2 linked regions of the Drosophila melanogaster genome follow. The protein of the gene in region 1 interacts with the protein of each later gene in a pairwise test. Each region holds a gene or a part of one and is shown in the gene's direction. Other genes may lie near its edges.

Region 1 (6,597 bases):
CTCCCACACACTGAAAGACACATACAAACCTCGCACCCAATCCTTAGAGCAATTATACCAATGGTGGGCACTGCTTGGGAGAGGACTACGCACACTTTCGGCCCATAGGAGTGATCCGGACAGCATTCCCAGAGAAGCGGGCCGTGCCGAGGCAGTCAATTGTGGGCAGTCGCCTGCGGGGTATCATCCAACTGAACGACGGTGTGTTCACCAATCCGGAGCACTCCTTGGAGGGACTAGAGGACTTTTCCCATCTGTGGCTCATCTATCATTTTCACCGCAACAATTCCCACCCCAAGGCCAAGGCGGATAACTTTTGCTTCTACAACGAGCACTATGATAGTCTTAAAGGTCTAAGTTCTTGGGCATATCAAACGCTAGATGCACATCGCAAGGACAAGCGAGATCCCTGCTACAGCTTAGAAGAACTAGAAAAGGTTCACCACGGATTCTTTTTCTTTTGATTTGAGACTAAAATGATTTTATAATTTTTTCCTAGTCTCTCACTTATGACGACCTGTGGAACTCGGCGCAACTGCAGCTGGTACGCGAGGGAAAGATGCACGGCTTTTTGCGCATGTACTGGGCCAAAAAGATTCTGGAATGGACAGCGACACCGGAGCATGCGTTGGAGTACGCAATCCTGCTGAACGACAAGTACAGTCTGGATGGTCGCGACCCCAACGGCTATGTGGGCTGCATGTGGTCCATTGGCGGCGTCCATGACATGGGCTGGAAGGAGCGGGCTATCTTCGGTAAGGTTAGGTACATGAACTATCAGGGATGCCGTCGCAAATTCGATGTAAATGCCTTTGTCATGCGATACGGCGGTAAGGTGCACAAGAAGAAATAAAACGTTTTCGGATTTGCCTTTGTTTTGAATGCAAGCCAAGAGCATTTTTTATTTAACCATAGATCCAAGAGGCTTTATAAAATATGACAAAATTACAGCTAGCGGGACAGAACTTAGTCCTTCTCGGCGATCTTGGTGAGGTGTTCCTCGATCTCCCGCTCATCCAAAATACGGAAAGTGGGATCAGACTTGCTGACCACGCCGATCTCAATGCCGTTCGGCTTGAAGTCTATAGCGAGCACACTGGACAGACAGGAGATGGCCAGCTGGATCGCTTTCTCCTCCGACAAGTTGGGCTTGTACTTCTTTTCCAGATAGCTGTTGGCCTCCAGAGTCTTGGCACCCACGCTGCAGGCCTTGAACCCGCTGAAGTAGCCAGCCGGGTCCGTCTTGTAAACGCTGGGGCCGATTTCATTGTCGTAAGCGATCAGCACCATGCTGCAGCCGAGCGGACGCATCTCGGCATTCTGCGTGTACACCTGGTTGATATCCGCAATTCGACGACACAGCACATCCACGGGCATTTCGTAGCCGTACTTGTAGCGGAAGTTGGCGGCCTCGTATCTGGCCTTCTGCACCTGTGAGCGGGAATCAGCTAGGGGAGAGAAATAATTTTAAGTATTTAGTGACACTCTTGGGTTGATATGTCCTCTTTTCTAGTTGAAGCACCGTGTGAAAACTACGTTTAAAATGGCTCCACGCTATACGCCTTTGCCCTAATGTCTGGCAGGCTATTTCTTCTGATTTTAGCACAATCATAAGTGAATCGCTACTTGGTTACATGGGACATATCAACAATGGGATAACTCTGTGCTAACTCGACTGGAATTTGACTCGAATCACGCCGGGATAAACAAGAATTTAAAGTATCTATGGTTCATACCTATGCGTCCGGTCATTGCGCATCCAATGTCCTTGGTGATGCGGAACAGGTGGGTCACCGTTTCAGGCACGATGTTCTTCTCGGTCACTTTTTTTTGGGTGGCCACCACGGCACAGTCGCCACTCTTCAGCGCCACCGTGGTGATGTTCTCCTGGGCAATAGCCTTGAAGGCGTACTCTGGCGGGGAAATGAGAATGTCAGACTGGATACAATGGAGCCGCAAGTGCCAGGATACTAACCCACTTGGTAGAGGCGTCCCTCCGGAGAGAAGATCGTGATGTGTCTGTCAAAGCCGGCTGAACTTCCGCGAGACATGATGCTTTCTTCGTGCTTCGATAGCTGCAATAGACAACGCCGGTTAAAATTCAGTTCTCAAGTCTGCCGCAAGCAACACACCTTTTGAACAATTAAAATTTACAAATTTGTATATAGCAGGGAAAATGTCGCTTCAAATCGAACCTACTGTGCAAAATTCAGATTGTCATTCTCAGCCCGAAAATGAACCTAAAAAATACCAAAAAGAAACGCGCGCTGGGATATATCGTTTATCATTGAAATCGAATATTTGGAAAAAGCCAAAATAGTGTTAAGCTACGCTTACAAAATGTTTAAATTATTCCTATTTTTATTTGTGAATTATTGTAAATTAGTCAACATAGAGCAAAGGGATTTGTAAAAAAAAATATTAACAAACATATGTAAATTGAAGACAAAACTTTTACTGCTCAGTAACGTTATCTTATATAATTTTTGTTGAGGCTTACAACGTTATTTCTTAAGAAAATGTTTGTAAAAAAAGCTATTGAGCGCAAGCTAAATCTAACTGGAATTAAGGCAGTTGGCCGTAACTAAGCACAGGTGAACCTATCGACAATCGATAACGTCGCGGTGCCGTGCGTAAGTGATGGCCAACTCTAGCTGGATGTAACCATTGAGAATCGAGGTAAATATTGGTCAATAACAGCGGAGAACGCTGCAATTGCGGATTATTTGGGAGTCAAGTGCGCGTTGCCGGCAGCGAAAATGCACGAGGATGATCTGAAGAGTCAGTTGACCATCGCGCGGAACGAGATCAACAATCTCAGGTGCGTTTGAGACAGGCAAATTGCCATGAGTGTCCTTTTGCTACTGGTATAGTTCAAGTTCACACCGATTTTGCCTTGACCATGATGCAGGCAGCAAGTGCGCAACCTGCAGCATGTGCAGCGCAAGGACATTGAGACGATAACCCGCCTGCTGCAGGACTTCCGCTGCGAGGGGTGTGCGAACAACAACAAAAGCGCCAAGGACAAGGTCGCCGGCGAGAAGCAGGAGCACCAGCACCAACAGCAGACGCAGGACCAGCAGACGGGCCAAGGTCAGGTGCGTTTGACCCTCCCACACACTGAAAGACACATACAAACCTCGCACCCAATCCTTAGAGCAATTATACCAATGGTGGGCACTGCTTGGGAGAGGACTACGCACACTTTCGGCCCATAGGAGTGATCCGGACAGCATTCCCAGAGAAGCGGGCCGTGCCGAGGCAGTCAATTGTGGGCAGTCGCCTGCGGGGTATCATCCAACTGAACGACGGTGTGTTCACCAATCCGGAGCACTCCTTGGAGGGACTAGAGGACTTTTCCCATCTGTGGCTCATCTATCATTTTCACCGCAACAATTCCCACCCCAAGGCCAAGGTGGCGCCTCCCCGTCTTGGTGGGGAGCGGGTGGGTGTGTTTTCCACACGATCTCCACACCGCCCGTGTCCCATTGGTCTCTCGTTGGTGGAGATTGAGAAGATCGAGAACGCCACCATTAGTTTCTTTGGTACGGACATGGTAGACGGCACACCCGTGTTGGACATTAAGCCCTACATTCCACACTACGATGCACCATCCTTGAGCGTTGACTCAGGTACGTTGGACGAGAATCAAGCAGAAATGCAACTAAAGTTCTTGCCCCGGACAGGAAGAACCTCTGTTGGACCGCATGAGAGCAGCCTGGACTTCTACGACTCCAGACAGGAGCCTGACGGAGAGGAATCGGACCTGGAACTGTATGGAGCAGCTGGCTACAGCGGGAACGCGGGCATTGGAGCTGACGCTATTCTGCCGCCACCCAGCGCCGTGCGAGTGCCCAACTGGGTGGTGGCCAGCAATAGACTTAGCGTGACCTTTAACGAGCATGCCGAGGCGCAGTTAAAGGAGCTGCAGGTGGAGAAGCAGTGCATCGTGGACATTCTGGAGGCGGATCCGCGCTCCGTTTACTTGCGCACAAAATATGGCTCGCAAATATTTACCTTCCAGCTGCGGGAGGTCACGGTGACGTGCAAATTTGATGACAAGGCCGGCACGGTGACTGTGGTTCAGGTCCGGCGCAACGAGAATGTCCAGGTTACCGCCCTGGACGGCGACCTGCGCAGCGCCTAACTTATGGATTATTGCAATTGATATTCGTTAATTGACGATTTGTGTTAAGCTTAAGTGTATTGTGTTGAGGAGCTTTAACCTTTGGCGTTTCAATTTTGCTCTAGAATACAGGACATTCTTAAATATATGTATGAGGCTTGTTTCCCACGCAAAAGAAATTGTTTTCTTTCAAGTATCGTTACGCGTGGGTATTTGAAGTGTTTAAAGATTTTAACACGCATATTTTTGTGCTTTATTTTCAGCATTATGGGCGACTTGAGCTGGAAAGATTTTTTGAGCCAGGCCAAGCAGTTCCTCGAAATTTCGCAGAAGTTGGGTGATAATTGGATATTGGAACAAAAGGTATCTCGCAGTGCGGATTTTATAATTCGGGCTAATTATTTAATACGTTTTCCATCCCAATTAAGGACTCGAATGAACCAAACACCTATCTCAAATGTAGTCAGAAGATTAAATGCCGAGGTGGCAAGGACAACTCGGCTGAGTTGGTTAGTGTGGAGTACCATGTGGTCTTCAGTGTTTCCTATCAAGTACCAATGTTGTTCTTCCAGGCACACAGATCAGGTATTTACATATTTTACAAAATCTCACTAGATGTGAAAATAAATCCACTTATCGTAGATGGAAGTCTTTTGGATGTGGAGGCCACTTGGCGAATGTTCATGCCCGAATCGAAGGCCAGCGATCTCCACCAGATACTCACCCAGATGGATCACCCGGTGCTTTTCAGACCCTTTATGGCATTGCATCCATGCCGCACCGCCGAAGTGCTAAAGCAGTTCGGAAAGCCCAGCTGCAACCAGGTGCTTACCTTCATCAGTCTGTACGGACCCCACGTGCAGTTGCACCTGCAAAATGCGTACGGCTTAAGCCAAGAGTATACGTAATTTGAATTTATTGGTGGTTTTTTTAAACACTGGTTATAGGAGTATACATGTATGGATAATATGGCTTATGCCCTTTTACAGTTTTACATTTCGTTCCCTATTTTAGAGTGGTTACACCTTAACTGGGGACCCCATCGCCACCAGTTCTTGGCACAAGTGAAGATCCATGGGGCACAGGGTCGTACCATGTGACATGACACCTGAAGCAGCACATCACATGGATAATTTAAGTTAAAAATGAAAAACTAATGAAGTTACGAAAGGAACCCAGCTTTGTACACAGGTTATAACTCCGCTTAGTGAATACATTCAACTACTTAGGCATTATTTATCGCTTAACGTAGTGTATAGTTTTCAAGTTCCACTTGCTATTTTCGTTATTTTTTCTCGGCTAATATCAACTAGTAGCTACTTTTCGATTACTTCGATTTAACATTAGACAGGTATACGCTTACATCTAGTTGTACTGTACACAAGCGTGGCCTTGCTGAGCCGCTTTGCTTTGCATTTTACTAATATTAAGTGGTTCATTTATAATTAATGTTAACTGGCTACTGTGTGGCATTAGCGGCGTCCCGGCGCTGGCACCAAAACCCCGTGTTCCATGCGGAACCGAGGACTCGTGGGCGCGGGGAATCGCATTGAAAATGTTTATTTGCAAAATTAAATCGACTTTTATGTATATTACGTTGGTTTGCAATAGTAGTTCGACAGTATACAAGAGTCCACGTACATTAAGGATTAATCGTGTGCAGTGCGGATATCCTGCTGAGGAAGTCTAAGGTCGGTTAGGATGGCACGTACGAGGAGAACTCAATTTGGACTCGGAAAATGGCTAGGATATCTCGACGCGCTCCATAACATTAGGTGTGAAGTGTTTGTAAAAACTATGGTTAGTCTTCGAAGTAAGCTTTAATATTCCGAACTACTTAGGGGGAGTAACGATTCGAAGGACACATATTATATTGCGAGTATATCCAATTAACATTCCATCTGAGCAGTGCCTCTCATATTACCTAATAATTCAAAAATAGTGCTCTTTGGTTTCGTGCCATTCAATAACTATCAGCTAGTAGTTATTTGATTCTAGGGATACTACGTTTAACAAACAAGATTATTGGTGATTTCACTTTACCAGATTTGCACTACTTCGTGCTTTGCGTCTAAAAATGTACACGTGGTCTGGGAAATGCTTGGAATGTGGTTTTTCGATTTGAAATTTTTCCTGGGCGGTTAAATTTACTGATGGGGGTGAGAAAAGGCTTGGGACAGGGTATTCTTCTATGAGTATTGTATTTGTGAGGACCTTATTGGCACTTAACAAACATATACGACTATACGAAATATATATGCTATGTATGTATTGTTCAACATCCGGTTTGTGTCATCTCAATATATGTGTTCATATATAAAATTTCGTTTAAAGCTGCACCATTTAGTTGACACTTGCATCATGCCAAGTTACATTTGTTTCGCTATATACAATATAAATTACCAAAAATAAAAAAAAAAACAAGTAAAGTTCGTAGTTCAGTGGCGGAGTGCTGCTCAAATGCAAAATCT
Region 2 (6,216 bases), on another chromosome or scaffold:
CAAGAATGTATCATGGTAAGCTTTAGTTATGCCCGACTTGGCTCAAGATGACTATTGTGTGCTCTCAGGCAGCCGGAACTGCATACGGAGGGCACCTATGTGTGCTCTTTTCCAGAGCCCCCGCTGCCGGAGGCCCATCTGAAACCGGGCACCTGGCATGGCCATCTGGAGCCGTATCAGCGGCTCTTCTATCATCAAACGATGAACTCGGTGCGCTCGAGCAAGCGGTACCGTGCCAATCCGAACATCCCGAAGGATACGCTGGACTTTTCGCTGCAGTCGCGCTACGATCACACCCGCGAAGCATTTCCGGACAAGGTGGACTACGTGATGCAGAGGGAGACGTGCCGCGCCATAAGTAGCTGGTCAGCTCCTGGGGCGGCCAAGGAAATTGGTTCCCAACTCAAATCATTTCGGGTGTTGCGCAACACGCGCTTCATTCGGCGCAAGCAGGAGGACGTATTGGGTCATCCACTTCGCATAGGTAAGATCACAAAATTGGTACAAACCTAAAGTTCTCGACGCATTTTAAGTAACACCCACTTCGAATCTAATCATATTGTTGCAGGCGGTTGTAAAGAAAAGATTCATCCGCACAGCGTAAAGCTCATTTGCAGCGGTGTCCACAACCAGCTGGTGAACAATGGATTCTCGCGCCAGACCTCCGACGGCAACTTCTTCCGCTATTAGTTCCACAAATCTGTGTTTGCTTTCCCAGAAAGAATACCATTTTGCGTTTTGGGTTTTACAAACATTATTGGAAATAAATTTGGGACACAGAAGCAGTCGTCACGCAGTCGCCTCCAGCTTGGGCTGCTTGGGCAGGTGCTCCACATCTCCATCATACTCATCCACTGCTTGTGGAGTGTCCTGTTGGTCATCCTCCGCCTGTTGCTCCGACGCTTTGTGACGCTGTTTCTTGTTCTGGTTACGATAGCTCTTGGGTAGTTTGTTGTCACCAATCCTGAAATTGGATGGGAATTTAGTATGCGAAAGTGGGTGGCTCGATTACTTAGCTTACATAATAGTGGCTCTGGTTCCAGGTCCCCAATGTGGAGTCGGATTCTCTTGGAAGCGCGATAATGCCGATTTGCGACTCTTCGGGTTCGCCTCCGGATGGAGTTCATCGAACTCGTAGACAGCAGTGCATTCTTTCGAAAGTATGGCCGCCAGTGGAGATCCAGGAATCATCCTTTCGGGATTTACCGGATGTCGCTTGCTCCAGCTGCGCAGAATGTCCCATAGCACCGCTGGTGGAGCATTGGTTTTCAACGAATTCTTCGAGGCATGCGAGTATGAGACTCGATAGCCAGCGTGGAGAATAGCAGACCGGAACTTTAGCATGGGCACGATTTCTAGCTTGAGCACACAGCACAGTTTGTCCGGCGTGTAGTAAAGGGGAACATCCTGCAGCTCCTCTTGGACCATGGAAAGAACTCCAACGATTCGTCTCTGGGTTCCCAGCGATTGCAAGGTGGTCTCCTGGACCGCCGTTAAAAGATCCTGCACAAATTCGGGGTTATGAATCGGTGCCGACCAGATGGGTCCACCCAGATGATGCCTGTGACCGCAATGTTCGCACTGCGAGTTGACCGCCGGACCAGTGGGAATTCCGAACTTCAGCTGCTGGGGATTACCAGCCGTGGGATTTGGCTTGGTTATGCCCAAGGGCTGCAGCGTGAAGGTCTCACATCCGGTGCATTGGTATATCCAAGACTGCTTGCTCATCGACAGCTTGCATTGGGCCTGGCCGACGTACACACGCACAAATATCCGGATGTAAAAGTCCGCTGATATGCTCAGTAGTGGTTCGATGTACTTGCCGTACCTGTTCGCGTGGCTCTCGATGCAGTGCAGCAAAATGCGCAATGCCATCTCGTGACAGCACTTCATCCGCAGCGGAACCGATCCGTATTTTACATAGCAAGCTTCCGGAGCATTTCCGGCCAGCACGGCCATGTCGGTGGCTGTCACCAGCAGCAGGCCGCCGTCCACCAGGCACTGCATAGCGCCATCCAAAAAGCGATTGGGACATCCGTACGGATCCAAGTCAACTGCATCAAAACGCTTCTCGGGTTGCGTCGAAAGATACATGAGGGTCCTGTACGATGTATTGGAATGCCCCATTTTATACCGTGTGCCAATAGCTTAATTATAAACCTACATTGCATCGGAGTGACTGGGCTCGATCAGCTCCTCCACCTTGTTGTGCCGGATGTTTGTGTTGATCGAGGCCACTGCCTGGCGGGAAAGATCGTTGGCCACGATCTGGCGTACACCGGCGATTTCCTGCGCGTAACGGATGCTACGCAAACCGGTGGCTGCCAGTGCCTCCAGGATCCGAAGTCCATCCTCATATCGAGTACCGGCCTCATAAACAGGTGGATCCTCGGGAACGGGAGTGGTCTTCTCATCCTCCTGTTCCTTGACCTTCTTCCGCTGCTTTTTGAGCGCCTTTTCGCTCCGCTCCTTGGTCAATCTCTGTCGATAAACATTCAGAGCAGCAATGCTCAGATCTCGATTGAATTCCTGGACAGGATTGTAGAACACATTGCCGCCGGAAACGATCTCCGCATTACGTTCGCGTATCACGTTTTCGTTGGGATTTTCAGCAATAATCTGCAATCGTAATGCTTAGCTTAATGTGGTTTATTTATAATGTGTTTTTCTTTAAGAACCTGCGGCTTTTCCTCGTCCACTTCCATTTGGATGAGTTAAAAGAATACACGTGGGGCAGTGTTGAAAAACGTAAGCTACTAGCTATTAAGCTTTAAAACTAAAAATATACACAAATTTGTTGTTTTTTATATGAAATACGAAATAAACATTACAGAATTATATTTAAGTTTAATTTAGTTTCAAAATTTACAATTTGGGTATATTCTCTGTAATAATACATCCCATAAAATGATGTTGAATAAAAATGGTTCTTAATATTTATTTGAATTATTTAAAGATTAAAATAAATTAAAATAATAAATTGACATTAAATATGACTGGAAAATAAAACTTGAAGCTAGCTACTTTGCCACCACCAGGATTATCGAAAGGACTATCGAACCAAAGTCCGCCCCTATGCTTGATAAAGAAATTAATTTGCAGAAGTGAAACAGCCGCAGCCGCAAACAGAAGCAAAAGAGCTAGAAGTGATAGCATTTTTGTACTTTTATACAGTGCCACAAAGAAGCCACAGAATGACCGATCTGCGCAACGAGATGGACAGCGATCTGGACCAGAACTACTCCCTGAACAGCAATGCGGACCCCAAAAACATGCAGGAGCTGACCATATACGTGAGTAATGCCCGAACCGGGAACCACCCAGTAAATAGAGACACCAAATGAGCACCCAGTAAACCTGCCTCCTGTTATCAGGTACAAAATCTGTTGCAGAACGTTCAGGACAAGTTCCAGACGATGTCGGACCAGATAATAACGCGCATCGATGACATGGGCAACCGCATCGACGATCTGGAGAAGAGCATTGCGGATCTGATGAACCAGGCCGGGATCGAGGGTCAGGGACCGGAGAAATGAGATCCGTAGCGCTGGCACGGCCACGCCCATTCGGAAAGTGCATCCCAATACCATTAGATACATACATCGAACACCTGGCACCCAGTCACCCGTATCAAGTTTACAATTCCAGGTTCTCACATTCATTTAATCTCCTCCGCACCCAGCTGCTCCCCAAGAAATGAAGAAAAGAACACATTTGCTCATCCATTTATTGCTTAGTTTTAAGTTTCGCCCGGTCGGGGCACATCATAATTTAAGTAAAGTAATTCTTTTGTGAGCAATGGCCAATAATTTTGAATTATTGCCGTTTAGTTTCTATTTATAAATTAAAAATTCAAGAATTGTAAATTCCCTGCTATTTGGGTGTTCAGGACTTCGATTTAACAACGGTTACCAGGCGACCAGTTCCCGATTTGTGTTTCCTCACCTGAAAGTTTATTGCGAAAAGGGGAAGAGAAGCGCGTCATTTCCGCTTGATTAGTTATGATATGCATATATTTAGTATTGTTTATCTGGGACAAATAATGCAAATCGTGACCCGTGTCCATTAATAAAAAGTGTATGGAAATCAGCGCTGAATGGCAAGGAGTGCTATATAACAATCCCTACTTTTAAAAGGAAAATCAACATTGATTTGTGGACCAGAATGATTTTCGAATATTAATTGCAATTTGTGTTGCTTCTACATATCATGTTTTTTAAGGCAATGAGATAGAGAGTGGTAATACATTCTGATTAAATTATGAAAGGAAGCTCTGAGACTGCGGGGTTACAAAAACCAATTAAGATAAACCCTTAGAAGTATGTTCCTAATTCAATTTTATTTAAGCTCTTGCTACGATTCCAGAATGTGCCTGCAATACTGATGTGAGCTCTAGGAACTCTACTACTGGTCATAATTTGAGTGCTAGTGCTGGGGCACGTGGAACTGCTTCTGCAGCCTTACATGGGTGGAGGCCACCGCCTTGAATGGATGTTTGACCGTTTGTCTGCTGGGCTTCGAAGGAGCAGAAGTGGCACTGGCACTGGTCGATGGCGTGGCTATATCCTTGCTGGCAGATCGGATCTTGGCCCCAAAAACATTCTCCCGCGGAGGAACCTGGTTGCCCGGCTGCGTGGGTTCCCTCTCGTCATCCGTTGCCGTTCCAGATTCCTCGTCCTCTTCGCCACTTTGCTCGGTTTCCTTGGGAGGAATGGAGTTATTCTATCATTCCATAATCATGCCAAATCATACCTCATCTTCATCATCTTCCTCTTCATCCTGCTCGTCGGTTTCATCTTCGGGTTCTGTTTTACTTCCATGATTGATTCCGGCTCCCGTCAGATTCCTATTGCTCCTGGACAACTTCGGGCGCCTCTTGAGCGGACTGACCAGGTGCTCGTGCTCCAAGCTATCCATCGACTGGGAGCGCAGTCCCTTTTTGAGTGCAGTTTTCCTGGAAGCCAGCTCTTCTTTGGTCTTCATGAGTTTCTGAAACTCAATGAAATCGTCGCGCTCATCAATGGTTCCAATATCATAGTAGCTTGCGCTGAGTATCTCCAATGCCTTGGTGTGCTGTTTCATGGCGATCAGTATAAAATCGCTGATTATCTGCTTTAAGTCGCGCAACTTCCGCTGCTCGAAGTTGCCAATAATGTCGTCTATCTCCTTGTTTGTGCGCTGCACCTCCATTTTGGCCTTAAACAGCTCCGAATCGGCGGCACTCTACGGTAAGTTTTGGGAATTATATAAGAAGTAAATTGTTCGTTTTAATACCCACATTGTTCGCAGAAAACTTTGACTTGAGCTCAAGCATCTGGCGCTGACGTAGTACCTCCTTATCCCGCGCTATGACAGCCAGTCGAAGATTGTCCCTTGTGGACTTGCAAAGCTGCTCGAATTGCGCCAACTCGTTGACAATCTACATAAGTCAATAATATGATATAAGATGCAGATTTAAAAAAGGATAATTCACCTTGTGTTCCAATCGGTGTACATTGATGTCCATGTAATCACCCATTATGGTAACCGCGTTGGTGAAGCTCTTCAGTCCCTGACAGAGACTCTCGTTGATTTCCTCGTCGTCGGCGTAGCTCTTCACACTCTTGGCCAACTCATCAAAGGAGTCCCGATATCTGCAAGGTCTTATGATTATTCATTCAGATTTATTTATTTACCAAACTCACTTGGCCATTTTCCGCGTTACCAAAGCAAACGAAGAGCACATCTCCATTAGATGCCTTTCTGTTATGTTTATGCGCTCGTTTATTATTTTAACACGGTCATCTTTGGTGTTTAGAAAGGATAGTTTTCCACGACGAAACATTATTATTTTATTTTAGTCCCTTATATTTGTTTTCCTTCTTTATTTATTTTATTTCGACAATAAAATCAAGTGAAAACCGTTACCAAGGCAACGTCTAAATTCATCTGGCAACTCTCGTTCGAACAGCCAGCATATTTCCAGCTCTGTAAAATTAACAGAAATGTTAAGAACCTACTGCTGCCAGGTGGCGCTAGTATCAGCGTCTTCTGCAAGTACATAGATGGCGCAAGAATAAAGTTTATCAAGGAAATTTAAAACATTCTAAAAATATTCAATCCTAAAATAAATATCTGAATATGGGTACTTCATTTTTTTCCAACAGTGTCAAGGTCAAGAGCACGTTTCGTTATAATCTGTGAGTGTTTCTGTCTGTCATCCGGTGTCTAAATTTA

Evidence for each region.
Region 2: the proteins of CG12822 (region 1) and CG5446 interact in a two-hybrid assay, tested with the Drosophila melanogaster proteins (one large-scale study listed by BioGRID).

The regions. Positions count from the first base shown.
Region 1 is NT_033778.4:7,829,545-7,836,141, forward strand, and holds CG12822 (uncharacterized protein), read left to right. Parts: upstream 1-2,626; 5' UTR 2,627-2,759; coding exon 2,760-2,821; intron 2,822-2,911; coding exon 2,912-3,098; intron 3,099-3,157; coding exon 3,158-4,147; 3' UTR 4,148-4,297; downstream 4,298-6,597. Other genes in the region: CG18853 (uncharacterized protein), read left to right, coding at 48-437, 500-853; Prosalpha1R (proteasome alpha1 subunit-related), read right to left, coding at 967-1,448, 1,737-1,913, 1,976-2,051; Atg10 (Autophagy-related 10), read left to right, coding at 4,394-4,489, 4,555-4,711, 4,769-5,034.
Region 2 is NT_033779.5:12,424,546-12,430,761, reverse strand, and holds CG5446 (uncharacterized protein), read left to right. Parts: upstream 1-3,052; 5' UTR 3,053-3,194; coding exon 3,195-3,293; intron 3,294-3,374; coding exon 3,375-3,536; 3' UTR 3,537-4,131; downstream 4,132-6,216. Other genes in the region: CG5435 (uncharacterized protein), read left to right, coding at 1-15, 69-484, 569-690; Trm1 (tRNA methyltransferase 1), read right to left, coding at 790-964, 1,022-2,101, 2,165-2,619, 2,679-2,705; Fam92, read right to left, coding at 4,426-4,701, 4,753-5,223, 5,279-5,419, 5,474-5,633, 5,685-5,824.